Linked DNA regions of Schizosaccharomyces pombe. The protein of the gene in region 4 purifies or fractionates together with the protein of the main gene of each other region. This does not show direct contact. Each region holds a gene or a part of one and is shown on either strand. Other genes may lie near its edges.

Region 1 (7,074 bases), on a different chromosome or scaffold from region 4:
AGGAGGTAGAGTTACTTTTTCCTTCGGTCTAATAAAATCTAACGGAGGTCCTAACGCGCCTTGTAAAATTGGCTTTTGGCCGACTTTGGGGGATTTACTAGAATTTCGAATTTGAGTAAACGGTACCCAGGTTTTAGTGAAAGAAGATTTACTTCTTAATGAAAAAATATACCTCCATGTCGGCATAATTTTCAGGTTACCGAATGGAAGGGTTTTTTTGTAGAGTTAGCAAAAGTTTATGTTACTATAAGCGACAATGAATGCATCATTGTCAAGTTGAAGAAATAGTAATCTTCAAGTATATAAATTTATTTATGAGCATATAAATGTATATTAATAAATATATGTATACGTTTAAATAGAATTGCTTATGCAGAAAAATGATTGTTGTAATAAAGTTCGGTACACTTCATTAACAAAACTAATTCTGGCTATCAGTGTCTAAAATACTTAATATGCAATTTACAATCTACTATATAAAATATAAATATATGTATATATATCCAAACCATAACCGATGTTCATTATTATTGTAGCTGATATGCAAAAGGTAAAACGTATAGAAATAAATGCTTTTTTCTTTAAAAAAAAATGTAAAAAGATGTAACTACGCAACACATTTATTCAGGGTTATCGACAAGTTGAGTACGTTTTAACTCTAACTCGGTCACCATACGATTAACGTCTGCAAGGAAACGATTTCGTAGAATGGGATTAGTTGCTTCATCGGCATCCTTTCTACGTTTTTGAATAGAAGACTCCAACTCTGAAATAAACTCACGAACAAGTCTATTTTGTCGTTTATTTTCGCGAGTCTCATCGTCAGCTTCATTTTCCTCTTCTTCTTCTTCTTCCTCCTCTTCTTCTTCTTCACTAGCAGATTCTTCACCTGCGGCACGAGGTTCTGCTGTTGACTCCCGAGTATCTTGACTAAGCTCAAGCATACCCTGTTCAATCTGTCCAGCCAAATCGTCCTCATCCATACCATCAAACATATCAGTTTGCACGCTTTGGTCGTCCCGATCGATGCTGGTACCACGAAGTCCTGCCATTCCATCAAACGATGTATCCTCTGAAAGAGCGATGCTTGAGTCACGAGCCAATTGTGCTTGATCAATCAACTCATTCGATGTACTTTCAGCGCGTTCATCCATTGCAAGCAATCGGTCAACCTCATTTTCAACTGCTTCGATTGTTCTGTTCGAAACACGTTTTCGAAATCGCTTCTGCCGCACCCAATGCATTGGCGTCGTCAATCCATGTGGATAAATGTAATCAGCTTGCTTTAACTGAGTATTGAGAACAGAATTTTCGTGCTCGATTCTTTCTGTAGCTATCAACATTTGACAGATGTCAGCAGCCTTGAAGATAACTTTTTTGTCGAATGATTTATTAGATTCTATGATGCATGGCAAATCAACTAACTTCGCAGCGTACAAATGACCATTAACATGAACAACCGCTCTTCTTTGATCTAACTCTGTTAATAATAATATAGTGTAACCAAGTCATTACCTTTGAACTTCACCCATATGTCTGCACCTCGTCCCACTTCCCTATTTTCAATTGCTTTTCGAACATACTCACAATCTTCACCAGGAGGAAGACGTAATATAATTTGTTCTTCAATATAAGTGTCTTCTTCTCTGTCAGAAGCTTCTGAATCATATCCTAAGCCAGGTTCGCGAACTCTTTTTAACCGAATTTTTGTCAATCGAGGGCCTTTAGGTTCACGTGTCTTGATCTTAATTTTAGGAATTGGGGGAGGAGGACCAGTGGCTGGAGTGCTAGATCGTGAATCATTTGGAGGAGGCTGAACAGCACGAATTTTTAGCTTAACCATTTTCGAAAACCGCCTTTTGAGTAATTGTCGTTGGCAAACGCTCGATTAGCAAGTCGCTAAACCTTCAAGTGAGTCTCGTTATCTACTACTAACGAGCCATAGTGATTTACAACATTTTTTTAATACAATCGTTATCTGCAAACACCTGTCAGCTACGCAGTTTGGTATCTATTTAACGATTCATAGAACTGCGGTGAGTTTCTCTTGCGACCTACAGTATAGCGGTATGTGGTATGTTTAACTAACAATGTATATTTGTTACTATAAGAAGTCCATTAGTATCGATCACCGACATAGCTAAACTACTGAACTGAGGAACAAGGTTCGGCAGTAGCCCTATTTATAGTATTCAGATAATAAAAATATTAATAGATTATTATTAAGGTCAATCTCAATACTGTTTCATACAACGATGAATGATTAGGACATGTGTCATATAGTGATACTCAACGTAGTGTATCCTTGAGTAATGTATTGTTGACAACACTACTTATTTATCCCACAGTAAACAATGTAAATAAAGCGCGAAATTGTTGATCGATGCAAAGGTTAAGGTAAAAAGGGTTTTCAATGTAGCTAGGAATCCGGGATTTACTCACTTATTATACCATTTGTAGCATACTAATCATATTGAGTTAGCATATAATATAATAACAACGAATGTTTGACAAGGCCACTAGCGACAATTGTATAATACGTGAAAACAAATCACTTTAGTTATTTAAAGTTTTCTAACATAGGAACATTATTAATTGTAATTACATTTAAAACTTTTGAAATCTATCACAATAAAAAGCGATTGCAAAAAAAAAAAAAAAAAAAGGAAGCAACACAGATGATGTGCATTGTAACAAATAGATCAATTACGGTGAACAACTTTAATACAATACAACTAACAACGATAAAACATTCATTTGAAAAGGGGAACAATTTTTTTCATTCGTAACAAAAATAAAGCAAATTATTCATGAAGTTATAAGGGGCGTAAAAAACTTTGGAGTAGGCCGAAAAGGTTGATCATTAAATCACTAGATTAACGGGAAAAGCTTACAACTTTTTTAAAAAAATAAAAAAAAGGAAGAAAGAAAAAAGGTAAAAAAAGTTCCAAGAGGAAAGGAAGCACACGAAATAAAAGACTACTATAGAAAAAAAAACACTCAGGACATTAATGATCAATGAAGAAAACCCGCTTAAAAATTTCTTTTCTTCTTTTGGATTTACTAGGGAAAATTGAAGCTGGGGATAAAAATAATGCCTATGGATGAATGTCGGTCAAGTGAGGACTATGACGAGAAGGGGGTAATCTAAAACGCTCGGTCCATCCAGTTTGTTCTTGCCATTTTTGTGAATAGGAGTCAACGGCTTTAATAGCGTCAGCAATTTGAGATGGATTGAACTTCTTTGACATGTTGTGAATACTCTCATCAGGTCGCAAAGTAGCTCTACCTACCATCAATAACTCTTCATCGGTTACGTTGGGAATACCAAGTTCCTCAAGGGTAATGGGAAGATGACATTTTGCCATAAAAGAAGCAAGATTATTGAAGTCTTCCAACGGCCAATCCTCCAAAACAACTTGAACTAAGGTACCGTAAGCAACCTTTTCACCATGCATTAAACGATGAACGGGACCGTGGATGGCGGTCATACCGTTATGGATGGCATGAGCAGCAGCAAGACCACCGTTTTCAAAGCCTAGACCAGACATCAATGTGTTGGCCTCGACCACGTTCTCAAATGCCTCGGTACAAACACCGCGAGTGTTGGAAAGAATAGCGCTCAGGGCATACTTTTCAAGAGTGTCTTTGCAAGCACGGGCAATGTAACGGCCAGCAATGGAGGCCACACCTCCGGCAAAGGAAGTGGAATTTGAGCGAATAACGGATTCAGTTTCCACCCAGGTGGACAAAGCATCACCAATGCCACTAATAAGGAAGCGGACGGGAGCGCGAACAATCACATCGGTATCGATGAAAATGAGGTTGGGATTAAGGGGGTAAAAGCTGTATTTTTGGAATTGACCGTCAGGAGTGTAAATGACGGAAAGAGAGGAAGTAGCGGCATCAGAGGAGGCAGTAGTAGGACAAATGATGGATGGAAGATTCATGGAATGAGCAATATACTTTGCGGAATCCATGGTTTTACCACCACCAACTCCAATGATGACTTGAGTATCATCAGGGCACTGTTTGCGAAGTTTATCCAGTTCCACCAAGCTTGCCTCGCCGCCAAAGACCAGTTTGGTGACAGTCATTCCGTTTTGAGAAAGAGAATCGACAATTTTATTGGCACAAATGTTCCATACGTTCTGGTCGGCAAGCACGACAGCTGATTTAGTGGCCCATTTTTTGACATACATATAGGATCTAGTGAAGGCATGACGACCCTGAACATACTTTTGAGGAGAGGTGAAAATGCGATCTTTGGATTCTTCAAACTCTACACCAACTTTGTGAGGCGTCTCCGTTTCAATAGGAGCATAAAAGCGTTTGCCCCAACGTTGTGCAACGGCATTGGAAGAGGCGAGCGCAAATACTTTAGAGTTCCTGTGGGCGAGGGAAACGAGAGGGAAGCGAGGGGTTGCAGCGCAAAGACGAGGACCAATCATTATGAAGGAAGTTCAAAGACTAGCTAAGCGTTACGAATAGAAATCGAATCAAATCGAAGAAAAGAGAAATACAAGAATAGGCGTGTGGAACGGTTCTTACCTTTCTTGAAATTTATTTCGATACAGAAGAATCCTTATTTAAAAAGAAAAAGGAAATAGGTAAAGAAGCACAAGTAACTAAGAAGGAGAGAAACGCAATGGAACAGAGGTCCAAAAAGAAAAAACAACTATATGTGTATATATATACTTGTTTGCGGAATCAATAGACAGTCGAAAGATCACGAAAGTTCCAAGAATGAACGGGATATATGATCTCGGCTGGCCAAAAAAAAAGGGATCGACGTAGTCAATGGTGATTGTCAAAACTAGAATCAGCCGATCGACGGTAAACGGGAAGAGTAGGAAGAATGAAAAGAGAAAAAATATTTAAAAATTAAAGCAACGAAAGTTGATTAAAAAAATAATTAAAGAAAAGAAAAAAAAACCCAAGTGGTAGTGAAAACTTGCTATGGTTTTATTTTACAATGGAAAAAGCAATTCTGTTAAAAAAAGAAGAGAAGAGAAGAGGTGGATGGATGGATGGATGGATGGGGGAAATATGGAAAACTGCGAAAGCAATAACCAAGAGCAAAGAATTCAGCGCTGCCCCTCTACATATAAACTTGATGAGAGGGCGATGACACCACACATATCCACCGCAATTGCCAGTTCCCCACTGCGGAAGCCAAACCCAAGCAGACAGGAAAATAACGTAACAAAAGATGAGGCAGGATAAACCCATGACTCGTTGGTCTCATAACTGCGTCATAGGGGCAAGAAAGACAACGTGGTATGCAGTACAAGACAAAAGCTTACTTGCTGAAAATCTGGGGAAATATATACAACAGCAGTCATTCGCCAGTTCCTTAATAAACGCTCGCTAAAATGACGCGACAAAAAATGAGGAGACAGGGATGAGCAGTGCCACTCAACGGCGAGGGAAAATGGGAAGAGTGGAGAGAAAGGCGGGGTCCTGCTACAATTAGAAAGCATTTGAAGAAAAAAAAGTGGATAAAAAAAAAACAAACAAATAAACAAACATTAAGAGAGACGAATAGTGGGGAGAGTGGTACAATTAGATTGTTTCTCCCCAAGATGGATAGATAATTTTACTGGTATCTGCCCCACCTTTTCCCATTGTCTCATTGAGATCCCCTCCATTCCAGCCCCAGCATTCTTCCTCTAGTCTGCAGTATGATTTCCCTGCTCCTCTTCCTCCAAAAGTTTTAGTGCCGACTTTAGATGATGAATGGCTGTCGTTGTGTCTTCGTAGTCTAATGCACTGTATGCATAGCGTGCATGACTTCGAGCAGATTGGATAGCCTCCAAGGCGGAAAACTTGTTCAAGGGGGAGGCTTTAGTCGGTTGAGATGGCCTTGATAGAGGGGCATTTGTTCTTGTTGTGGCTAAAGTTGACTTGCTGGAAAATGCTACTGACGGATCGATGGAGGTGGAGGTGGTGGTGATTGACGTAGGGGAGGGAGGCCGATGCCCATCTGATGTTTGCTTTGACTCAGGAGATAAACTTTGGATATGCGAGGAAGAGCGAGTGGAACGAGTAGGATCTATTGTTGGCAAATTTTCGGTTATTGATGTAGTTGAGGGGAACGTGGTAGGCTCATATGAATGGGAAGGTGAATTTAGTTGTGGAGCAGCCGGTGTTGAAGACAACGATTTTACGTCTGCTTCTACATTAGGCTCGGAAGATACGGCTGCAGACTTTGTAGGAGAGATGGAGAGCGATGCTGCTGGAGATGTAGTGGGGAGAGCAAAAGATGTTTCATGAGAAGCAGAGGCATTCGTTTCAACGGCGGCTTCTTGCGTAGGTAGGGTTGTGGAATTTGTGGAAGATTGCTGTAACTCCTCGGTCGCGTGGTTTGAGGGTGTTTTGGCCTTTCGTTGGGGATTTGCGACTTGGAGCGCACGTAACTTGCAAAATTTGATTGACTTGGTAATCTACGTAGCAATAGGGGTTAGTAGGGAACAAAAAATCGTTATAAGCATCATAAAGCATCGTTGTATAATACAAACGAGAGAGAAAAATACCGATAGGAAGGAAATCCTCAGAATGGCAAAAGAAGAAACGAGTCGAAAAAAAAAACACATGGTAATGTGAATTGGAAAAGACGATTTTGTTTTTGACAAAACAAAAATAAAAAATAAAAAAATTTCCAAAGAACCTTCATTTTTTCATTTTTGTTGATCGTGGTTTTCTTTTTTTTTTCTCCTAAGTTCTGCTCGTTACTCTTTTTCATTCCGTCTCACTTGCTCTCGCTGTTTTTGACTCACGTACCTGTTCCGTAGGTGGTCCCCAGATTCTCGACAACTCTAGAAAATCTCGGGCTGCCAAATACGCTTGCACATCTGGTTTCCCGTTTTTGCTATTTCTTTCGGCCTGGACAAGAACTTCTAGGGAAAACGATTCAACATACGCCTTTGCACTAGTCTCGTCACTCACATTCTCATTCTCGCCCAAATTTTTACGTAACTACACACGCCATAGAGCGGTTAGTACCACAGAAACATTTACATAGTTGGTCTCGTAATCCAAAAAAAAAAAAAAAGAGAAAAAACCCTCGCCAAC
Region 2 (5,963 bases), on a different chromosome or scaffold from region 4:
TTGTTTCAGTAATCTCAATTGAGATCGATCCTATCAAAATCGCTATGGCAAAGCATAATTTGGAAATTTATGGCATTCCTTCATCTCGAGTCACTTTCATTCAAGGAGACGTTCTTGACACTTTTAAATCTTTGCAGTTTGCTAAAGATTACAGGGTATAGATAATCTTATATATTAATTCTGTGTTTAACAATATTTTCTAGTCTCTTGTTTTTATGAGTCCTCCTTGGGGTGGACCTAGTTACTCAGGAAAAACAGTATATTCATTAAATGACCTAAACCCATATGCTTTTGATGTTCTATTTAAAGAAGCAACTAGGATATCCCCTTATGTTGCTGCATTTTTGCCAAGAAACACTGATGTAAAGGAACTTGCAGCATATGGGAGTATTCATAACAAGCCTTATATTACCAATTTTTTATTTGAAGGATATGCCAAGGCAATTTGCTGCTATTTTAATATGAAGGGTGCTATTGCGCGAAAAATTTGAAAGTTTCAACTCATTTTCACGTGAAGTTCGTCAACTATATATTTGATTTCATAAACATAAATTGATTATTAACATTTTCTACAATGAATATCGTTATAATTAGATTCATCACCAATAAACAAAAAAGGAGCGATCGACGCCCATCATGAGATGTCAAATATTCTTTATAACACTCAGTATTATTTTAGTTTTTGTCGAGCATAGTAGCCAAACCTCCTTCAGGTCTACCAAATAAGGGACATATTTTGTTGGTCTTCATGTGGCCCACTTGACCACAGTTACTACATTTGCGAGTAGTGGGTTTTCGTCCTTCTCCGTTCAAGTTGATTCCTTCTTTGGCAGCATGTCGAGCTCTTCGTCGCTCCCAATTCTTCTGACTCTTGGCAAGTTCTTGTTCAAGACGCCTTCGGTTGCGTCTATCAATTGCTTCGTCTCCAGTTGGTACGACGGCATCAAGAGCAGTTGATTGTTCGTCAATCTCACGCCTCTTCTTCAGATAGGCATGGATGACTATCGGGTCATGAATGGTTTCCTGTTTACGTTCCAAATTTCCATTTTTGTCACGATAAAGTCGAACAATTCGTAAAACTTTATCAGAAGATGGAGTTTCTTCTCTCGTAGTCTCCTCATTAGATTCAACGTAATCATCATGTATAGAATTGATGCCATATTTTTTAGCCAATTCTTCCAGATTATTTATACTTAAACCTCTTTTCTGAGCATTCCAAATCCTATTTATTTCTTCTTCATAAGCCCTTTGTTGCTTTGCAACATTATAGGCGTGAGCATTCTTAGTTTGCGGTTCTGGCTTATCGTCGGCGGTTTCGCCAGCGGGTTTGAAACCACCCTTCATGCTCGTACGAATAAAACTATAACCTTCGCCAATTCCTGTAGGGTCACCCTCACCAAACAGTGTAAGCATGGCCTTCCCTTGGGTAGCATTTATAAAGTTTCTCGTAGTAATCCAAGGCGCTAACAGTTGCTCTGCTGGTTGTTCTTCATCTTCATCATCATTGATCTCATCCATTGTTTTCCCATACCCAGCATCTTCAAGCTGCCGCACACCCACTTGCATACTCTCTAGTAAGCACACTGTTTCAGGTGAAACCATTGACCGTGTACCTGCTTCATCGGGGACAACTTCATTCGATTTTAATTTCCAGTAACCTGGACCATCACCTTTCTTTTTGTATTCCATAAATTCTTTAAGACGCTGTCTAATTTGCATCTCATTCTGATCGGAGAAGTGCTTTGATAATTGTCGAATGAACAATCCTCCATTTGGTGAACGCCTAATAAGCCGGAAAACAAGCATTTTTAATCGATTTTTACTTGCTGTGGTCACTTTACGGGAATGGGGCCCAGGCACGTCAGTAACAGGAAAAGTTTGACCACTCACGAACATATGATTAATGTTTTTTAAGTAATATTTTGAGCCATAGCTACTAGAATTCCGTATTAGAATGAAGTCAGTAGGTGGTACCTCATGCTTAAATAACGGAGCTCTAATCATTTTATTATACAAAGTGGGAGTAATTTCTCCAGGTTCAACAGATCCAAAATTCCAAAAAGGGCTCCGATCCTGAACATCTAAAACGTGGCTTTCACCAACTTCGAGCTTGGGACGTGATTCATCCTGTTCATTTTTCTTTCGATAATAATTAACGATCCTGCTGGCCATACCTGCATTGGACAGCACTGCAGGATGTTCTTCTGAGAACTCAACGAGTATTGCATGTGTGGTATCACCCATTGTTATCTCCTTAGTAGTAGGAATTAATTCTCGTTCAGACTTATGTTTATCTTTACTTCTTTTCCTTACTATTAAAGGTGAAAAGACAATAGCTGCATTAGGTTTGAACGACATGGTTGGTCGATGGTAACTTCGAACAGCACGCTTACTAAGTCTTGTTTTATAGTAAGGAAATGTGAGCTTTTCGGCAAAGGCAGCATGCTCAATTGCTAACTGGGACAAGGTATTACGAACTTTTGACTGATGATTTTGTTTTAACATCTCATAGGCAGGATCGTTGGATATATTAAACTTCCAAGCCAGGGAATTCCTTTGATGGGTGTCTGCAAAAGATCTTTGGGAATCCTCTTTCTTCGGCAATTGAGGTTGTAACAAAAGTTTGGGGTCATTTAAATTTAATACTACTTTCGAGGTACCAGTGTCTCCGTCAAAAATGTTTTCATCAAATGCAAAATCAATATCAACTAGTGATTTGTCAATAAAAAATGATGATTGATTAGTTTTGTTAACATCACTCTCATCGTAAATAATATTTTTTTCCCAATCATTAGTAGTAAAAACGGTGTTGAGATCCAAGCCGTCATTCCTCTTTCGGTTAGTGAAAGCTATTCTAAATCAAACCATACCTGTGATGTATTAGCTGTTCTTCTTCGCTTTTTTGTATGCGTAGATATTGGAGACACAACATTTCGCTTTAATGGTAAAGACTTCTTGCTATTGAATATTATTGCGTAATCTGTATCGACTTCTAACGTTAAACGACCAGGTACGCAAACTTAACATGTCAGATCAGTAAAAAAATACAACAATAATCAATTCATACCTTTTGGGGTCTTTTTCTTTGGAGGAGCAAGCTTAACAGGTTTCGGCTTAAAAAGTTCTGAAAAGTTCAACAAAACACCACGTTCAAAGGTCGGAAAAAAAGTTTTGACAATGCTCTCCCTAATTTGAGCTTCGTTTTGTAATTCTTCTGTAGTAGAAGAAACAGTTTTCGAAGGTTCGGAAGGTGGAACTAATCCCGATGGAATTGAAAAGCCTACTCCGCTGAGGACCTGACCAGCAGCCTCTTCACCCATTTCTTTAGCTAAAAGCTTTCCAAAATCTTCATCATCCTTATCCCCGGTGTAATTTACAGCTTGTTCTTCCTCTGGTAGATTATCATCACTTACATCTTCCATATCATCCATTTCATTTATGTTATTACCAAATTCCTTATGAATTGAACCCATAAAGTCAAAATCTTCATAATTTGGTCCATCCTGAGGGTTGGAATTTTCAAAACTAGAATCTAAAATTTTTGGGGACTCATTCATCCCTGGATTGTTTGTATCTCCTAAAAGAGAATTTATTACAGACATGTCTGTACCATTTTGCTTAAATAAATCTGTCAGGTCCTACATTCGTTAGTTTAAGATTATAGATTTCAAAATACCTACATTTCCATCATTGTATCCAGATTTCGTATTTTCATTTTCAACTATAAGACCATCAAAAGACATAATATATTTCAAAATTTATGTATGGCCTCACTAAGCCGTTATATATGATATTAATCGACTTGTGGCGAAATGGGTGTTGGCTAAGGGATACTTTTCGTCTGCCGATGAATATAGACTCAGGTAACATTAGCTTACTGATGAATCTTGGGTGACAGAATTAAATTCATATAATAATATATATCTATTAACTATTAAATCCTCGATAATTTCGTTTATTAATTGGAAAGACTCATGAAAATAATTAGGCTTGGCGCTCACTGTACATTAATCAATAGTTTAATGTCTCGAAAAAATAAAGAACCGCAGACTTGTTTAATTAAATCAATAAATAAATGCTAGTGGGTGAGTTAAGAGGAGGACCTATGCAAGTTGGGGGTTTTGCTGTGTTGATACATTATCCATAAAGAAGACAAAGGTAAAGTCATAACAACAATTACAAAAATGTAGACGGCACGTAAATCAGATGTGTAGTTCGAAATAAGTGTTAAAGAAATATGGCTAAATAACACACCGGTTTGTGATATCAAAGCGTAGAGGGCAAAGAATCTAGTTTCTTTTCCAGATGGCACTAGTTGAGCGTATACGGACCTACAATAACTATGCGCACCTCCTAAGAAAAAGCCAAAGAATAAAGTAGCCCGGAAAACGTCAGCTGATGTTCGTATTCCAGCATTTTCAAATCCAGGAATGTAACCCAAAAGGCCATATAAAGGAGCCATCGGCAAGAGGATGGAAATAATCATTACTACTTGTAACGAGTTCAGTTGAAAATACTCAGTAAGATAGGGTATAATTACGGTGCCTAACAATGCGAAAGAAGATATTCCCATTCCTAGCAAAGTCAGCTGAAAGTTAGAGAGATTCAACCTTGCTTTTCCAAAAATAACGGCAGAAGAAAGAGAAGTTTGAATTCCACAATTAATGAAGAGTCGTGAAAATAGGAATAGCCTAATCGAAGAAATACTCATTGCATGCTTGAATGAATGATACGACTCTTTCACACTATTATAAAGTAGTGTCAGGATAGCATCACTTGAGTGATTTTCCACAGGTAGTGTAACAATGGTACAAAGGGGGGTTGAAAGTATAAGCCACCAACATGAACACACTGTAACAGTTATTGGCAAGATTATTGGATTGTTATTAGTTTTGTACAAAATGGGAGTAAAAATAATCTGAAAGAGAATAGCAGCGCCGAAGAAGCTACCGAAGCCAACGCTTGATAATCGAGCAGCGATTTTAGCCTTGTGTTCATCTTCCACATCTGCAGGAGGAGCGGATTCATTAAGTATTAGGCTGTGTTCAAGCAAATAGGGCTCTTCTTCACTAGAATCAATGGTGGTATTTGTTATGTAGCTATCTAGGTCATCTGTTTCATCCTGAAGAGCGGATTCCAATGTTATAGGTCCTCTCGTGATAGGGTAGAATCTCAAAAAAATAGGGAGAAAGCTGTCATAGCAGGATTGAGATATAATAAAGTTCAAGTCGACCAGAATCAAAAACACTATTTTTCCCAAAAGAAAACTCGAGGGACTCCACGAAAGTATAATACCACTAATAGAACCTATGATAACGCATGAAAACAAGATGTATCTTCTGTTATTTCCATAATCGCAAATAACACCCAAGCTAACCATCATAGCCATCTGTAAAAAAGTTGAAATAGCTGATGCAGCGAATACAATAGAACTAACATCAATCCATAGCGGACCAACTATATTCAAAGAGCAAGGTTCTTCTGGATATAAAGAACAAGGAATTGTGTGATCTGTTCTTAAAAAACCATGATCATGGGCATTTTTCATAACAATTAAAGGAACATACACCCCCATACTTATAATTGCAGTAGGACCTGCCCCAACTGCATAAAGAATCCAGCTCAGAACATGCCAAACTGTAGTGGAAAACTTCTTGTGAAGTTGTATTGGAGAATTCATATTGATAGCTCAATCGTCAAAAACTATGGAAATACAAATTACTGAAGATAATATGAAAACATAAATTTTGAAAGGGAATGAGAAAAGAAAAGTAAACTGTTGTAGTTATCTTAAAATTGTGGTTGGTGTAGCGGATTTATTAGCTACGCAATAGGGACATAACTGCTCGGGGGGAGACCAAACAATGCATGGACAAAACAAACAAAATAGATACAATCATGGCTGCTTCTAAAAAATTTTTAAGCGATCAACTAAATAATTATTGTATCATTTAATAATAGCT
Region 3 (7,293 bases), on a different chromosome or scaffold from region 4:
GTCCTCTAGTAAATAGAGTTTTGAACGAGCCGTCTAGTTCCCCTTTATCGTCCTCAAGTTTGAAATCCCCGTTATCCAAGGAAGGCGTCTTAAATCAACAAGGACATGAGCAGTATAACTTCTCACTGTCACCATCTATCCGAAATAAGCTATCTCCTATTTGTCGTCCTAGTCAAGGGAGTTCTCCTAAGCTGAAGAATAATTTGTCCAACACAGAGGAAAGGATGGGTAGTCGTGCACTATTAGATGACAAAACAGATTCTGTTATCACAGCTTCTAATTCAACCACTTCTGGTCTGTCACGAGATGAATCTAGTAATCCTAATAATTATGAGTTGTTAAACGCGTTTAATCAAAACACCTGGAAAATATCTCGGTCGACTTCCAATAAAAGTCTTATTCCCGAAAGTCCATGGGGCGTTGCGCTGGGCGCATTTACTCCTAATGCATCTACCCAATCTATTCCTTGGGGAAATCGTACTTGGACAGATTAAAAAGTACCTTCAAAGAAGGCAATTTATCTAGTTCTGTTAAGATTTGTGTACATAAATATTTTAATTATTTCGTTTGTTTTATTTTAATTTTAATAACTGCAAATTGTAGCCTGCTGTTTACTTACTTCAATTTATCTAACTCACAGATTTTGGCTTACGCCATGAGTTGAAGTAATCAATTCAGACTTAGTACTAAAAAAATAAATAGCAAATTGTATCATCAAGTGATTAATTTGCTAAAATCACAATTGATCTTATTTTAAATTATTAAGTCAGTAAATTAGTAATGACCTTATGGTCTACGATAAACTCGAAAAAATTAGGTAATCTAAATCAAATGCAAATCTAAATTTCCGGAAAGACTTAAAATGAAATAATCAAATAAATTAAAATCATAATTAGTAAACATAACGGTATGAAGACGACAAACTCAAGAAAGCAGTTTCAAGAGAAATACCAATGTGCTACGAAAAGGTTTCAAAAAGAGGTGGAAGCATTTCTGGTTGAAAATGAGCATCCACGTCTATAGGGGACGGTTTTATACCTAATGCATCTAATGGAGTAAATTTCTCGATACATGAATCACCGTCAAATCCAGAGATATTAAAATTATAAGTAAACAAAGGGGTATTAGATTCTTTAATATGTGGAGTAGCGTAATCTATCTTCGGGGTCTCGAGATTCATTGGATTCTCTATAAGACCAAGTTCAGTATCATTGTTATTGATGTCTCCTTCATGTGATGAAGCGCCATTCCAAGTAAAAGGACCTTCAGCTGAAGGTTCGGGAGGCTGTAAAATACCCCACAGGTAAGAATTCCGCTCAGCAGTGTCTATAGCAGTGATATTTGGCTTTAACTCTACGGGACATGGTAAAGTTGTAGAAACATAAACGGTACCATTCGAAGAATTTTTTAAAGATAATAAACTTTGCTTGCTCGAGGAAGTATCAGATATATAACTCCTTAATTGGCGCTCCACATAATTAGCAATAACGTAAGGTTCATAAGGTAGATTAATTGGAAGAAGTGAGTGAAAAGATTCGCCAATATTTATCAACTTTAGCGTTAACTGATGCAAAGCAAGACCCTGATTCTCCTCTAGAAGGACAGAAGATATAAAATCTACTAATTTAGTGTTTACATAAGTGACATCTGAAACCGGGGATGTTGATGCATTTTCGAAATCTCCAGGTGATGTTAAGATATCACCATCGTCCTGCTTCAGTGGGATAAAGGAATACTCGACTTGTTGCTTCGATTTCTCATTTTGAATTTCTAAAGCAGATAGTAATGTCTCCACATTATCATCCTTTTTAAATACTTTTAATTTTTTTTCTGTGGGAATTGGTTTTGCTGATGTTTCATCCTTAAAATCATAATCTTCATAAACTCTTTTATTCGCCTGGCTGTCCGATGTTAAATTCGACAATTGCTCTTCAAACTCAGTCCCTTTAAATATCACTTCAGGAAGTTCAGACAACATTTGGTTTTTTTTTATATGTAAAAAGCGATTATATTGCAAATCGCGACTTAGTTAGATGTTGGCTGCTTCTGCTTGCTATACAAACTCATTTTATTACTCTTTTTTTAGGTGCCACAGGCTCGTCGTTATTCGATTACCGTATTAGTGTTCATGTTTACGCATTTCCTTCTATTAGCGCTATTAAGAACTTAAAGTATTTTACAGGAACAGCAGATACTCAGTTCCTTTAAACTCCATAGTATCATAATCGTCTAATTTTCGAATGGAATCAATACTTTTTAAGAACTGTCGATATACGCTCTTCAGACTAAAACCAAATTATTTCAATTTTTAAAAGATTATTATTATTATTACACGATCATGAAAAAATGAATTATACAAAGCTATACAGAACATTGTACCGATTTGGCCACCAGTCCTGAAGCTAGAAGATTTAATGAAGCAATGCTCAACTAATGTTTAATGATAAACACAGAGGAAAACAAGTAGTATCGCGAAGACACTTGCACGCACTTTTAAGAGCACACATTCATCAACTGCAGGTTTTCAAATAAGATACGCAATTTCAGCCTCTATAGTTTTCTTGAATAAAGCTGTGTTGCGCCGTAAAAGAAGAAACTCACAGATCAGTTTCTGATTTTGAAGAAAAAACTTTTCAAAGGATGTCTCTATCATCTGCATCATATAAAAATACTCATAAATGATGACTTACAGTGAAGGGGATTCTCCGGAAAGCTTTTTAAGGGTTTAATGTTAAAGATCAAAAAATAACCTGACCCCGACTAAGGTCTTTTACCCAACAATACCCATGAACATTGACACAAAACTGTGTGATAACTGTTGACATGCCTTAATGTTTTCGAAATTCAGACAATACTGGATAAATGGCTTCAAAAGCTTGGTAAATTTCCTCACGGACTTTCGCACCAGTTAAAACAATTTTACCAGAAACAAAAATCAATAGAACAACTTTTGGTTTTACCATGCGATAAATCAAACCGGGAAACAACTCAGGCTCATACTAAAAAAGAACAGTTAGATACTTATTCGTCTTTTAACAGCAACAACATCTTTAAAGATGATGAACTTACAGATGAGAAAGTACCGTGGGAGTAAGCCAAACCTTCCAAACGAATTGGAAATTTAACATCGCAACTTCCTACAATGTTCTGAATCTTAAAATCCGTGAACTTGGCATTAAAACCGAGTTTTTGGATGATACGCGCATACTTTCTAGACGCGAGCTTGGAGTCATCCTCGGATTTGCCACCCAAAACAACCATTTTACCAGACGCGAAAATCAATGCAGTAGACTTGGGTTCACGGATACGCATAATAACAGCGGCAAAACGCTATGTTTGGTCAATAACAGACCTCAAACAAAATTAAAAGGGTTTAACGTACTTTTGGGTTGTATTCTGCATTACGTGCATGTAGCGCAATAGTTTTGAGATCAAGACGACAGCTATTTTAAGAGGATTATTAGTAATAAGGTCTAATTTGCTAACTCAATGGAAAATTTTGTTAACGAGACGTATCATCCCCTGCGGTCATTGCCTTCGGAAATCTCGTGACATGGTAGTTAAATATAAACAAAACAAAAATCAAATAACCATTAACAATCGCTCTTACCCAAACGCCATGTCTATACAAAAGATTTCCGATGAACTCACCGCGACGGCAATACGCCTTGTTCCCTATCCAAAGAGGCACGACTTACTCTAAGTTTACAGTAGCAACAATATTTTGAAGGGTTGGAACAATGCCAGATACACCTTCATTTTTTGAAACTTCTGCATCCCCGGAATCTGCCGTCTCATTTGTAGCCTCGTTATTGGCATTGGGGAGAACAGGGAACGTTAAAGAAGAGTTATTCATAAAGGCACTCGCTTGCGAGGCCGTGGTGGGTAAAGCGAAATCCATTGCAGTAAATCAATTATTATTTTACGCTACTCGTAGAATTGCGTTATCCCACCCCTAATGGAAAGCCTGCAGGTGACGGCTGCTGCACTTATTTATATATACCCGATCTTTCAGGGTTAGGGTTTCTGAGTGTTGTGAAACCGCGGCGATGGCTGAATAGTAAAGAAATGCGCGATTTTTTATTTATAAAATACGTTTTTACAACTTTCTTATTAGCTTCTATGTATAAATTTCTCGTTTACAAAAAAAAGTCCTTCAAACGCAATACGAACGAGATATAGACGAAAATGAGTATAGGAAGTGCAAAATAAAGTACCGCATTTAGTCTAGAAAAGCTGAATCAAGCTTTGGTATAAAATTTGAACAAAGGCACTAGCTATCTAACCAAGTAGTTGGTTGCTGGCGATGTAAATTTTTTGTGTGCGCAGGTGGAAGGATGGTACGGAGTGAGAGCTGCGTCATATGCCCTTTCAGCAGTCTCGACGCTAACGCTTCACTGTATTTTGTTATATGGATTAACGCTGTTGGTCGTGTCGTAGTTTTTATAAACAAAGGAGAGGTGTTTATTCTCACGTGTAGTAAATAAAAAAAATATACTATAAACAAACATTGAGGGGAAAATAATCTAAGTTCAAAAAAGAAACTGAAGCATTTTCTTTTATTTTTTAAAGTCTTAACATCCTGAAAATCTGTAATTAGCGTTTCACGAATATAGTATTCCATCGCTACTTGTTATTTTATCATTCAATTAATAAAATGTGAAATTGCAGAAAGAAAATATAAATCGATCTGAGTTTTTTTTTTTTTTTTTTTTTTTTTTTTTAATTAAAGAAAACAAAAACAAATCATTAATCCCTCAAGTCTTTATAAGGGTTTTCTTAAACTATAAAAGAAGTATTTGTTTTAAACGGTATCCAAGAGACGATAAACCATTGTTAGTCTTTTGAGATAAATGTCATTCTTTGTTATAATAACCTCCTGATGCATATTAATAAATTGTTCTAAAATATGATTTCAAAGTTTCTTTGTTAGTAATTTAAAGTATCCTTTACAGAAAGAAATAAGATAACATGATATTTACTTTTTGAAATGTAAAATTCAAATTTTTATCTAATATCAATAACTTGACAATGTCATTCAATTAAATGGCTTTAATGCAAAAACTATAGAAGATCTGTAATGAAGGCAGAAACATATGAGGACACCAGAGTTGTTTAAATATTTTCGATTCAACAAAACTAAGATTAATACGGATAAGACATTTTCAAAGCATATCAATTGGTATGCTGAGATGGAAACCAACAACTTATTTGCAATAATATCGTCAAAAAAAAAAAAAAAAAAAGATGAAATAAATCTATTGGCTACTTTACTAGTTTAATATGAGGAAAAATATAATTAGGTATTGAAATTTTGTTTTTATTTTTTGTTTGCAAAATGTTTTTGCTTGCTTAGTTCAAGTACTAACAATAACCTGTAAAATTGCGCATCAAATACTCCGTTATCTTAATTCAGGTTATCCTGCCAAATTTTTACCCAACTCAACGACAAAATAATCAAAATCACGATTTTTAAACTCGTGGCTCGTTGTTTCAATAGTTCTAGTCGCTTTTTTAATAAAAATCTAATGTCGACTAGAAATCCCGCTCAATCGCATTGGGGTGTTCCTAAAGGACAAAGAACGGAGCTCTATGTATACAACACCTTAACTCATAGCAAGGTGCCTTTTGTTTCAAATGGTTCCAACTTAACATGGTACTGCTGTGGACCTACGGTATATGATGCTAGTCATATGGGGCATGCTCGTAATTATGTGACAACTGATATCCTTCGAAGAATCTTACAATCTTATTTTGGATATAACATTACATTTGTACAAAACGTTACTGATATAGATGACAAAATTATCCTTAGAGCTCGTCAACAATATTTATTTGAAGAATATAAAAAGCAGCAAGGTACTAACAAATCCCATTCAGAAGCTCGTGAAAAGGTTACTGAGGCTTGGTTTGCATATGCCAAGAAAAATCTTCCTGAACCTCCCTCCTCGATGAGTGAATGGCCTCAATGGCTCGCATCCCATGATATTCCCACTTTAGCTATCAACAATCCCAAGTTACCCATGCATGTGGATGCTTTAAAGTCTGCTTTGGACGCTCTTCAGGTGAGTGAAGCTTCTGAAATCATTTCTTTGGATGGGTTTTGGCCCAAGGTACAAGATGTTTTGGTCCCATTGCTTGATGCAGAATTGGGTAGCACCGTGACTGATCCTGCAATCTTTCGTAAACTTGCAGCTTATTGGGAAGATGACTTCAACAAGGACATGGCTAATCTGAATGTCTTGCCACCTACTGCTGTTACGCGAGTTTCGGAATATGTTCCTGAAATCGTAGATTTTGTTCAGCGCATTATCGATCGCGGTTATGCTTATCCAGTTACAGACGGTAGCGTTTACTTCGACACAGAGGCTTTCGAAAAAGGTGGTCATTTTTATGCTAAATTGGAGCCCTGGAATAAAGGAAATCGAGAGTTAATTGCTGAGGGCGAGGGTTCCTTGGCTGCTCTCACCGGTAAAAAGCGTCCGGGAGACTTTGCGCTTTGGAAGGCCAGTAAACCTGGTGAACCCTCTTGGGATAGTCCTTGGTCCAAAGGACGTCCTGGTTGGCATATCGAATGTTCTGTCATGGCTAGCGCTCTACTTGGTTCCAATATTGATATTCACTCTGGTGGAATTGATTTGGCATTCCCTCATCACGATAATGAGTTGGCACAAAGTGAGGCCTATTTTGACTGTCCCCAATGGGTGAATTATTTCTTTCATGCAGGTCATTTGCATATTGAAGGCCAGAAAATGTCTAAATCTCTTAAAAATTTTATCACTATTAAAGAAATTTTAAAGAAGTTTACACCTAGACAATTACGCTTGGCATTCTTACTTCAACAATGGAACACTCAACTCGATTTTAAGGAGACCCTTTTGGCATATGTCTTAAACATTGAACAAGCCTTAGAGAATTTCTTCCGGACTGTTAGAGCTCTCATGAATGAAACTGAAGGTGTAAGCGCTAATGGGGGTCACGTACCTGAAAAATTTGATAAGCTAGAAATTGAGTTACTTGAAAAATTCCAACAAACTCAGCAAAATACCCATCTTGCTCTTTGTGATAGTTTTAATACTCCTTTGGTCATGCAACACATTGATAATTTGGTTACTCAAGCCAACATTTATATTCGTGAAGTTGGTCAACAACCTTGCTCACGTTTACTTGGACAAATTGCATCATGGATCACTTCGATGCTCCAAATTTTTGGCCTCGATGAAAACGGCCACCCCAACGCTGTTGGATGGTCATCATCGAAAGGAAGTTCTTCGGAGAACACTGATGCCATGC
Region 4 (8,013 bases):
GTATAGTTAGTGAAGGAGAGAGCTTCAGATTCACCATATGCAGATTTCAAATTAAATGCATGAGAACGTCCATTAACAGTGTATTCTCCGTAATCATTATTCATAAAATCTTCATGATTTTGGCTAATGCTACCAGATGATAAAAAGTCATAAACACCACTGCCTTGGACGGAATTAAAATCTCCACAAATTAAGATGGGGATCTTTAAATACTCGGGATAGGTAGGTCTTTCATCCTTTAACTGGTCAGAAGGAATCTTGGAAGGCATATTACGGAATTTTGTTGCAACCTGTGCAATCTCATCCATGAGCATTGCAACTTGTATAACCTTGACATCCCTAAACTGAGGATCCCAATGAATATGACAATTTGCAACGATCAATCGCGATCCATTTTCCTTATTCTCAAGAAGAGTAATCACACTAATGTTATCTTTAGTCATAACACGGTTGTACATGTTAGACGTTAGTTTAATGTCTTGCCTACGAAGAGATGGTGCTTGATTATATTCTATCACCATCTTTTCGTGCATGACATATTTAGATGTTTTGAAAAATGTAGCACAACCATCGACGATGCGACGTTCAACCTCATTCATAGTTCGTACGCGACTTTTCGGGAAGTGGACACCTTTATAACCTTTCAAACTCATTTGTGGAGCAAAAAAAGTATCATAGTTCTCAACATCAACTTCTTGCAAACAAATGATATCAGCATTATAACCACCTAATTCTTGCATGATTAAATCTTTGCGATACGACCAAGAGAGTGCCCATGAAGGAGTATAGCCATACAATGTGGATGTAGCATAACGTTCACAAAGCACATTATAACTCATAATAGTAAACTTGAGATTCTTAGATGTTGTAGAGGGCTTGTTAGAATCAGCAGCCGTTAAATCTCTAACAGAGGTTGAAACATTGTCATTAACATCATCATCATCATCGGAAACAAGTTTTTCCCATCCACGCTCAGGAGGAGGAGGGCCAACAGGGCAACCATCGCGCAAAGCAGCAATTAAACCTGCAGTACCACTTTCCATGATTTGATTCTTGTAAACGTCTTGAAGAGGATTACCTTCAATACCAAGAATTTTCAATTGGAAAAGGGTACCGAGTTCGGCAGGTATTACACTAATCATATTATCAAACAATAGGACTTCTCTAAGCTCAGTAAGTAAACCAAGCTCTGGTGGAATAGTTTTAATGCTGTTTCCAGAGGCATCCAAAATAACCAAATTCTTCAGTTTGCCAATTTCAGGTGGTAATCGGGTAAGATTATTATGGTTTATGTATAATTCAGTCAAAAAAGAGAATTTAAATAAATCAGTGCTCACATTTCTCAAACCAATACCACCAAGGTCCAAACAAGTCCAATCCCGTCTCTCTTTCTTAGAGTCAGATTTCGACTTTTGGTCATCAACCGCAACAGAAGAAGTGGTTGTTTTTGACGTACTGTTTAAGGTAGTACCACTGGAAGTGTTTAATGTTGTTGAGGTCGTCAATGTTGTAGTAGTGGAGCTAGTATTGTACTTTCCCCCTAACGAGGATAAGCCAGCAGCATTAGGGCCTCCGGTAAAAGCTCCAGTCCGAGCATTGTAATTCATCGAAAACCCAGGTCCTCCACTTCGTGCTAAAGCCGCAGCATTATGAGCTCGTTGGTGTGGTGAACTGAAGGACCTGGACTGAGTTGCAAGTGCAATTTGCTGTTTCCAATGTTCAGAAATATTACTATTTTCTAAAGCTGGCGAATTCTGTACAGATAATATTGCTGCATGTTGATGGTCTGGCGTCAACAGCCCCGGGTGCGCTCCTGGATAAATTGTACCTTGCGTATACCTAGGATTAAACATAGACGGTATCTCGCAAAATATCAAAGTCGAGATGAATTCTAATTTACAACATTCACTATATATACAATAAAAGTGAGGTTGTTGGTGAACGGCAAGAGTCGAACCCCGTGATAGCTTATAGGTGGGATACGAAAGCTCACCACCAAGATTTGAGACGAAAACTCAGTGTCCTGTTAATCGTTTTTTAGGTATATAATTGCATATGAATGCTTTCAATTAATTCATATTATTAATTTTTTTTCTAAATAATATAATTTAGGGTCCAAACATGAAATTATTTTAGCTTATGTTTAGCGCTGTTATGGTCTATGTAAATATTGGAGCTACTGAAAAATTTAATATATAATGTATCATCAGAAGTCCTTTATGAAGTTTATAATATTAAAAGCTTTTCCGGAACATCAAATATGAATTATTCAGCCTAATTTCGATTCCGATACATGGATGTCTCAAAGTTGTTAAAAGGCAGTTAGTTGTTGACTCATTATCGTAAAGTAAGATAATGTTTAATATTTAAATTAAATTTTTTATAATCTTTTTTTATATAATGCCAAATTTCTTAAAGTATGGACGGGAAGAAACATATTGAAGATCAAAAAAGGTTTATTTATCTAACTAACGCTTATTGCTAAGCAAAGGTTACGACGCGTAAAGGAGACATTAAATATAGGGGTTTGCTTCGTATAAAGAGCTACCATTTGATCCGGACTGTTTGAGAAGGTTAGTAAATATATCGATTCCATTACATTTTCTCATACCTTGTAGACCAATTGACTTCATTAAATGTGGATGTTTTAGCAGAGAAAGGTGTAACAACACTTCCCGTTAGAGAAGAAGAAACAGGATTGTTGTAATTAGTTTTGAAAACGTCCCAAGCTCTCACAGTACAATCTGACCCTCCGCTAACGAGGACCGTGGATTCGCGAGAAAATGACAAAGAGTATATGTTGCCTCTGTGACCTCGCATTGTCTTTATACGCCTTCCTGTTCCTATGTCCCAAAGGTGAATTAGACCTTCACTGTCTTTAATCAAATTAGTAAAATCATTAGTAATAACAAATGTATAACATACCAGCACTTGCCATAGTATGACCATCTGGGGCAATCGCAACAGCAGTTACCGGTTGGGTATGTCCATTAAAAACACGAACAGAATGTCCTCTATGTACATCCCAAAGCCTGCATGTTTTATCGCTTGATCCAGTTAGCACATAAGCGGAGTTTGGATGAAAGGTAACGCACTAAATACAAGTCAGTCATAAGGAAACACATTTCTTAAAAAAGATAATAATCATACGTCTACATCACTTAAATGCCCAGCAAAAACTCTAAGTGGGTATATATGATCACAGCTCCAAAGTTGTGCAGTCTGGTCATGAGAAGCAGTAGCGAAGTAATGACCAAACGGACCAAAGGCAACATCCCAAACCGGGCCAGTATGTCCCTTGTAAGCTACCAAAGCAGTTTTTGTGTCAACAGACCACAGCCGGGCGCTAGCATCTTCGGAACAAGATAGTAAATATTTATTATCGGGAGAAAATGTGGTGCCGTAAACAGGACCAGAATGACTCAGTAAACGTACTGAGCCATCTGAATCCTCTACAGAAGTTGACTTAGGTAATGATTTTTTGTCAGCCTTTATTGACCATAGCCGTATATAACTTTCTTGAAAACCACAGGCGATCATTGTGGAGTCAGGAGAAAATTCAGCACAGTTCATGTTGTTATTGGTGTGATGGAATGTGTACATACAAACACTAGGAAGGGAGGCTCTAGGTCCAAGATGTAATCTTTTACTCCAATCTTTCACAGCCTCAACTTCTGAAAGAATATCAACACCTTTATGAGGAGGAAGAGGGATATAATCTCTAGACGGAGCATCTTCAGCATTAGGTTCATGCAGCTTTCTAAATTCTTTTAATAGTTTTGGAGATTGGTTATTTGGATCGTTTTGGTGCATCATATCCTCTTCTTCTAAGTCCATCTCTACAATTTTTTCCATTTCTTTGTCCATTGGCATTTGTTGCAGCTTTACAGGTTGAAGTTGAGCATCTCCTCGTTCAAAGGATTGGCCGGTAATACCTTCTTGTTCATTGATAACTTTAGCATTTTCCAAGACGGTGGGACGTCCGGGAACGATATGGATATCTATATGCTGATTGATTAATTTAATGATAATTGACCCACCGTTTGAAACGTTTTCAAATAAGAAATGAAGCAATAAATCAAATGTTATCCTAGAAAAATGGAGTTGATATTTATTTTGCCGGTATTGTTGAGCAGTGCGGTCTTCTGCGACATGGCTTGGAAGACTCAGCGATTTTAAGTTTTTTACATCAAAGTCATGAAGATCAGTATGATCGTCTTTGAAGAGTTCGTAAAATTGCTTTGCTATAGCACGTTAGTAAAATTATCATTTATCCTTATAAAGAATTAAATATGGGTGGTCAAGTGGAATGAGTTTCAGAAATAAAGACAAGTTGTAAACTCAATAGATAAAGAAACTAATAAGTATTTAGAATAGTTCAAATACCCCTCTTGTTCGTAGATCATCGAAACAAACATGTAACAAATTCGTAACCTCCTCCAATATGACCAACTTACCAGCTTCATAATGATCTTGAGACAAGAGATTAAGATATGAGTGAACAAATATAGGAAATAATATCCTGTGAAGTTCAGCTTTGTACAATTCTAACGAACTATCCACCCAGTCTCGTAAGATCGTATACGTGTGTGTGTATGCATCTGGAGTTTCCTCAATGCTTTTTAACTTCTCCTCTACTGACACGCCAGAACCCGATGCTTCCAAACGAAGCATCGCCTCGGTCCTTGAGTATCCCTTCTTCGCAAGGTAATCCAGAACAATTCTGTTCAGATCCTGCGGTTGCGGCCCATTAGTGGCAGACATGGTTAAATTCTCCAATACTCTAGCTTGAAGAAATTAATTAGAATCCAAATATAAATCTACAAATGACCGTGATTCATATAATTACCTGCGCAGAGCTCAAAGCAACTTGCTAGGAAGTAGCATATGTCGAGTTCGTGTCTATTAACATACCATTGTGTACCACGCTAAATTGGGAATTTGCAGGATTTATGAATAACTGAAATTTGGAAAGGTTCCACAGTGTCTGTGAGCGTTTTGATGTCGAAATCCTATCTAAATTACTATTTCTTTTGTCCTACTCAAAAATGAACTGTCTATGAAATTGTTTTAATGTCAACACAGGATTGCGAGGCAATGAACGCTAGAAAAAAAAAATAAATAAATAAAAGTTTTGCATAGTAAAACTTTTTCAATTAGATACTTTTTAAAATTCTTTTTTGATTTTCAATTCGGTTTTAAAAACTTTCACTTACTTTTTTTTTAGAAGTTTCATCCCAATTTCGGGATGTTTATAATTTTTTAATTAAATTATAGTAGGGCCCCTTATTAAAATAAAACTAAATGTTGGGTTGAAATTTAAATAGGGAAAATGTAGAAGTTTTTTTTAAAAAATTCAAAAAATTGGGAAATTTCATATTTCCTTCAAAATCATTAGTTTATAACAAAAATTGATGTAGCATTGATAAAATGAGTTTATCAGAAATTATATGTTTTTTTTCCTGTTACAGATTTGTATGGTTTTGAGTCTTAATCGGTTTATTTATTTATTGATATATTTATTTACATTATTGAAATTTACAAATAGTAGGTTGCGATGAAGTAATGGACTGTAGATAATAACTGTAAACTATCAATTATTTACATTCATTTTTAATTATATTTAATTTTCTTCTTTACAGTTTTCTTTCTTTTGGACCAGTTTTAGGGATTTGGTGGTAAGTACTGTGTTTTCATTTGCCTTAACATCCAAAGCATCCTTGCTACCAACTAGCCTATCTTCATCCAGCGAGACGACTTGACAGTTTTTTCGTTTTAGACGAAATAAAAACCAACAGCTCCAAATTTCGACTATTGCAATGTTCTAATTAATGCTGATAATATTCTATTGGTTGGGAAGATCGATTAATCTACTTTTCATAAGCATATAATAAAACATCTACATGATTTTTAAGTCACTAATATTTTCCTCTTCTCAATAATTAGTAATATAACTTTGCGAACTGAAAATCACTGTCAAATTATTAAATCTTATATTTTGGTCGATATTTGCTATTGGCTTAGTTATTTCTTGCAACCTATTCTTCATGAACGGCGTTAAATAATTTAAATCCCTTTTATTGTTGTAACTGTTGCTGGTTAATATTTTTTACTATTCATTCGTTTCCATTATGTCTACAAGGTCAATCGTTACTAGTAAAGTTTCTTGGACTCCAGAGAAGTTCATTTCAGCTCTCAGTTATCCTGAGCATTGCTCTATTACTCTCGTTAAGCGACTCAAGGCTTCTGTAAAATTAAAGGACCTCAAGCAAAATATATCTCGTGATGCACCTTCGTGGACGTTCGAGCATTTGTTTGTGGCTTTCAAATGTGCAGTCAGTAACTTAGCTAAGCAATGGGCGGAGCTATCCACTACAGATAAGGAGAAAACTAGAAGGATGTTTTGTACACCTTCTAGATTAAATACGGCTCACCGTCCCGAGGTTTTCTACCTGTTAGAATGCTGTACATATATTCTCGAACAAATGCAGGTGGTAACCAAAAATACAAGTCATTTGTATGATTGCATCCGTAGCGGGGTTTCAATTTGTAATCGGCTCCTGGACATGGAGATTTTTGAACCAGCTATCAGTCTTTTGATGAAAACTCATAAAAACCTTATAATTTTACTGACATATCGGGACCACGATGCCATCCCTACTGCTACCCTTCTTAATCCCACTTTAGATGTTTCAGAAATCCAATTAGAAAGCTGCCTTTTTGTTCCTATGGTTCCTGCCTCTTATTTCTTAAATATAGGCACTATCGTTGTCACATTTCAGCTCAATGTATTACGATGTTTATCTTTAAGTCAAATTAACGGTTTGTCTTTGAATACAATCAATAACTTACAAAGCGAAGATGGCCCTTTTCAATGGATTGAAAGAAGCTTTCCTTCCCAGGTTCAATTGGCCAATTCGAGAAGAGAAATTTTAGCTCGTTTGTTGACAAGATTTTCCATGATACAAAATAACGCCTTACAATCGTTCAAACTTTTAATCCTCTCTATAGCTTTATGGTTGAATATTCTTTCTTCCCAGAGAGCTGACGATAAAGAGTTTGATGTAAATCAGCTTGAAACGAGAATCCTCCAACTTTTCTCAAAAGTTGTCCAATTATGTAAAAGCGAAGATATTGAAGGATCTATTTTAAATAAAGATATGACACAACTTCATCATCTTCTGGAAAATTTATCAAAAGAATCGAGGTTGCATATTTTGCTTCAACTTTCTCAACTTTATTATAAATATAATGATTTCCAATTAAGCGCTGCATATGTCATTAGAGGCTATTCTTTGTCATTTGAAGACATCAGTTTTAAATTAAAATTTTTATTATTTTCTTTTCGATTATCAATTCACGATAATAGCATTTGTTTTCCGTTCAATTTAATCCAAGAGTTGTCGTCACTTCAGCAGCTCTTTGTCGAAAATGCTTTACCATATTCAGAAGCTCTACATTTATTGGATTCAATAGAGCGATCATTTCGACTTTTCAATGACTCGACGGTTTTTGATGATACTGTATTTGCTTTGAACATATCAGAAATTTTATCGTGGATACTCTCATCGGTTGTGAGGGATATCCTTGTCGAGGATGAGCTTTTAAATCTCCAACTTAAAATAAGAAAGTTTTTGATGTTTACATTTCATATAATTAGGTCATTTAGTGAGTTGACTAAATTTCAAAGTTCTCTGGAAGGCTGTTTAAATCTCGCAGCCTACTATGAAGATGCTGAATTTCCTCAAAAGCTTTCCAATCATCTTTACAACTTGTGTGTAAAATCTTCTAATGTTAATTATGCACGTGAATGCATAAGTTTGAGTATCAAAATTGCTGTATCACATAAATTGACTAATGATGAAACATATCTCCTGAAAATTTTAAAAAATTTTCAACTTCGGTACCACGATTCTTTACAGTTGCAAGAAAAATGTGATGTACTCCATACTACATTCAATCAACTGGATCTCTATGTTGGAACTACATCTGTTGGAAAATCTAGTGTATTGG

Evidence for each region.
Region 1: the proteins of taf5 (region 4) and taf7 purify together in Schizosaccharomyces pombe (affinity purification with western blotting, with the first as the bait; 2 studies listed by BioGRID). This does not show direct contact.
Region 2: the proteins of taf5 (region 4) and taf1 purify together in Schizosaccharomyces pombe (affinity purification with western blotting, with the first as the bait; 2 studies listed by BioGRID). This does not show direct contact.
Region 3: the proteins of taf5 (region 4) and tbp1 purify together in Schizosaccharomyces pombe (affinity purification with western blotting, with the first as the bait; 2 studies listed by BioGRID). This does not show direct contact.

Annotation. Positions count from the first base shown.
Region 1 is NC_003424.3:2,171,910-2,178,983, forward strand, and holds taf7 (transcription factor TFIID complex subunit Taf7), read right to left. Parts: upstream 1,879-7,074; 5' UTR 1,844-1,878; coding exon 1,516-1,843; exon of another isoform or gene 1,475-1,515; coding exon 621-1,474; 3' UTR 501-620; downstream 1-500. Other genes in the region: mismatch repair ATPase msh1, read right to left, coding at 1-186; glycerol dehydrogenase Gld1, read right to left, coding at 3,099-4,451; vta1 (Vts1 family protein), read right to left, coding at 5,673-6,446, 6,784-6,978. UniProt on the Schizosaccharomyces pombe protein: TAFs are components of the transcription factor IID (TFIID) complex that are essential for mediating regulation of RNA polymerase transcription. Also involved in the transport of mRNA from the nucleus to the cytoplasm.
Region 2 is NC_003424.3:836,100-842,062, reverse strand, and holds taf1 (transcription factor TFIID complex, histone acetyltransferase subunit Taf111), read right to left. Parts: upstream 3,826-5,963; 5' UTR 3,744-3,825; coding exon 3,681-3,743; exon of another isoform or gene 3,639-3,680; coding exon 3,068-3,638; exon of another isoform or gene 3,053-3,067; intron 3,020-3,052; coding exon 2,871-3,019; intron 2,833-2,870; coding exon 676-2,832; 3' UTR 501-675; downstream 1-500. Other genes in the region: RNA methyltransferase Tgs1, read left to right, coding at 10-155, 204-491; vacuolar amino acid transmembrane transporter Atg22, read right to left, coding at 4,091-5,680.
Region 3 is NC_003424.3:4,412,155-4,419,447, reverse strand, and holds tbp1 (TATA-binding protein (TBP)), read right to left. Parts: upstream 3,970-7,293; 5' UTR 3,902-3,969; coding exon 3,699-3,901; exon of another isoform or gene 3,444-3,698; coding exon 3,383-3,443; exon of another isoform or gene 3,331-3,382; coding exon 3,070-3,330; exon of another isoform or gene 3,000-3,069; coding exon 2,829-2,999; 3' UTR 2,297-2,828; downstream 1-2,296. Other genes in the region: protein nst1, read left to right, coding at 1-494; SPOM_SPAC29E6.09 (uncharacterized protein), read right to left, coding at 959-1,978; SPOM_SPAC29E6.07 (uncharacterized protein), read right to left, coding at 4,274-4,624; SPOM_SPAC29E6.06C (cysteine--tRNA(Cys) ligase Crs1), read left to right, coding at 5,529-7,293. UniProt on the Schizosaccharomyces pombe protein: General transcription factor that functions at the core of the DNA-binding multiprotein factor TFIID.
Region 4 is NC_003421.2:637,681-645,693, forward strand, and holds taf5 (transcription initiation factor TFIID subunit 5), read right to left. Parts: upstream 4,856-8,013; 5' UTR 4,765-4,855; coding exon 4,458-4,764; exon of another isoform or gene 4,245-4,457; coding exon 3,151-4,244; intron 3,095-3,150; coding exon 2,926-3,094; intron 2,877-2,925; coding exon 2,612-2,876; intron 2,562-2,611; coding exon 2,465-2,561; 3' UTR 2,403-2,464; downstream 1-2,402. Other genes in the region: CCR4-Not complex subunit Ccr4, read right to left, coding at 1-1,853; cut1 (separase/separin), read left to right, coding at 6,132-8,013. UniProt on the Schizosaccharomyces pombe protein: Functions as a component of both the DNA-binding general transcription initiation factor complex TFIID and the transcription coactivator SAGA complex.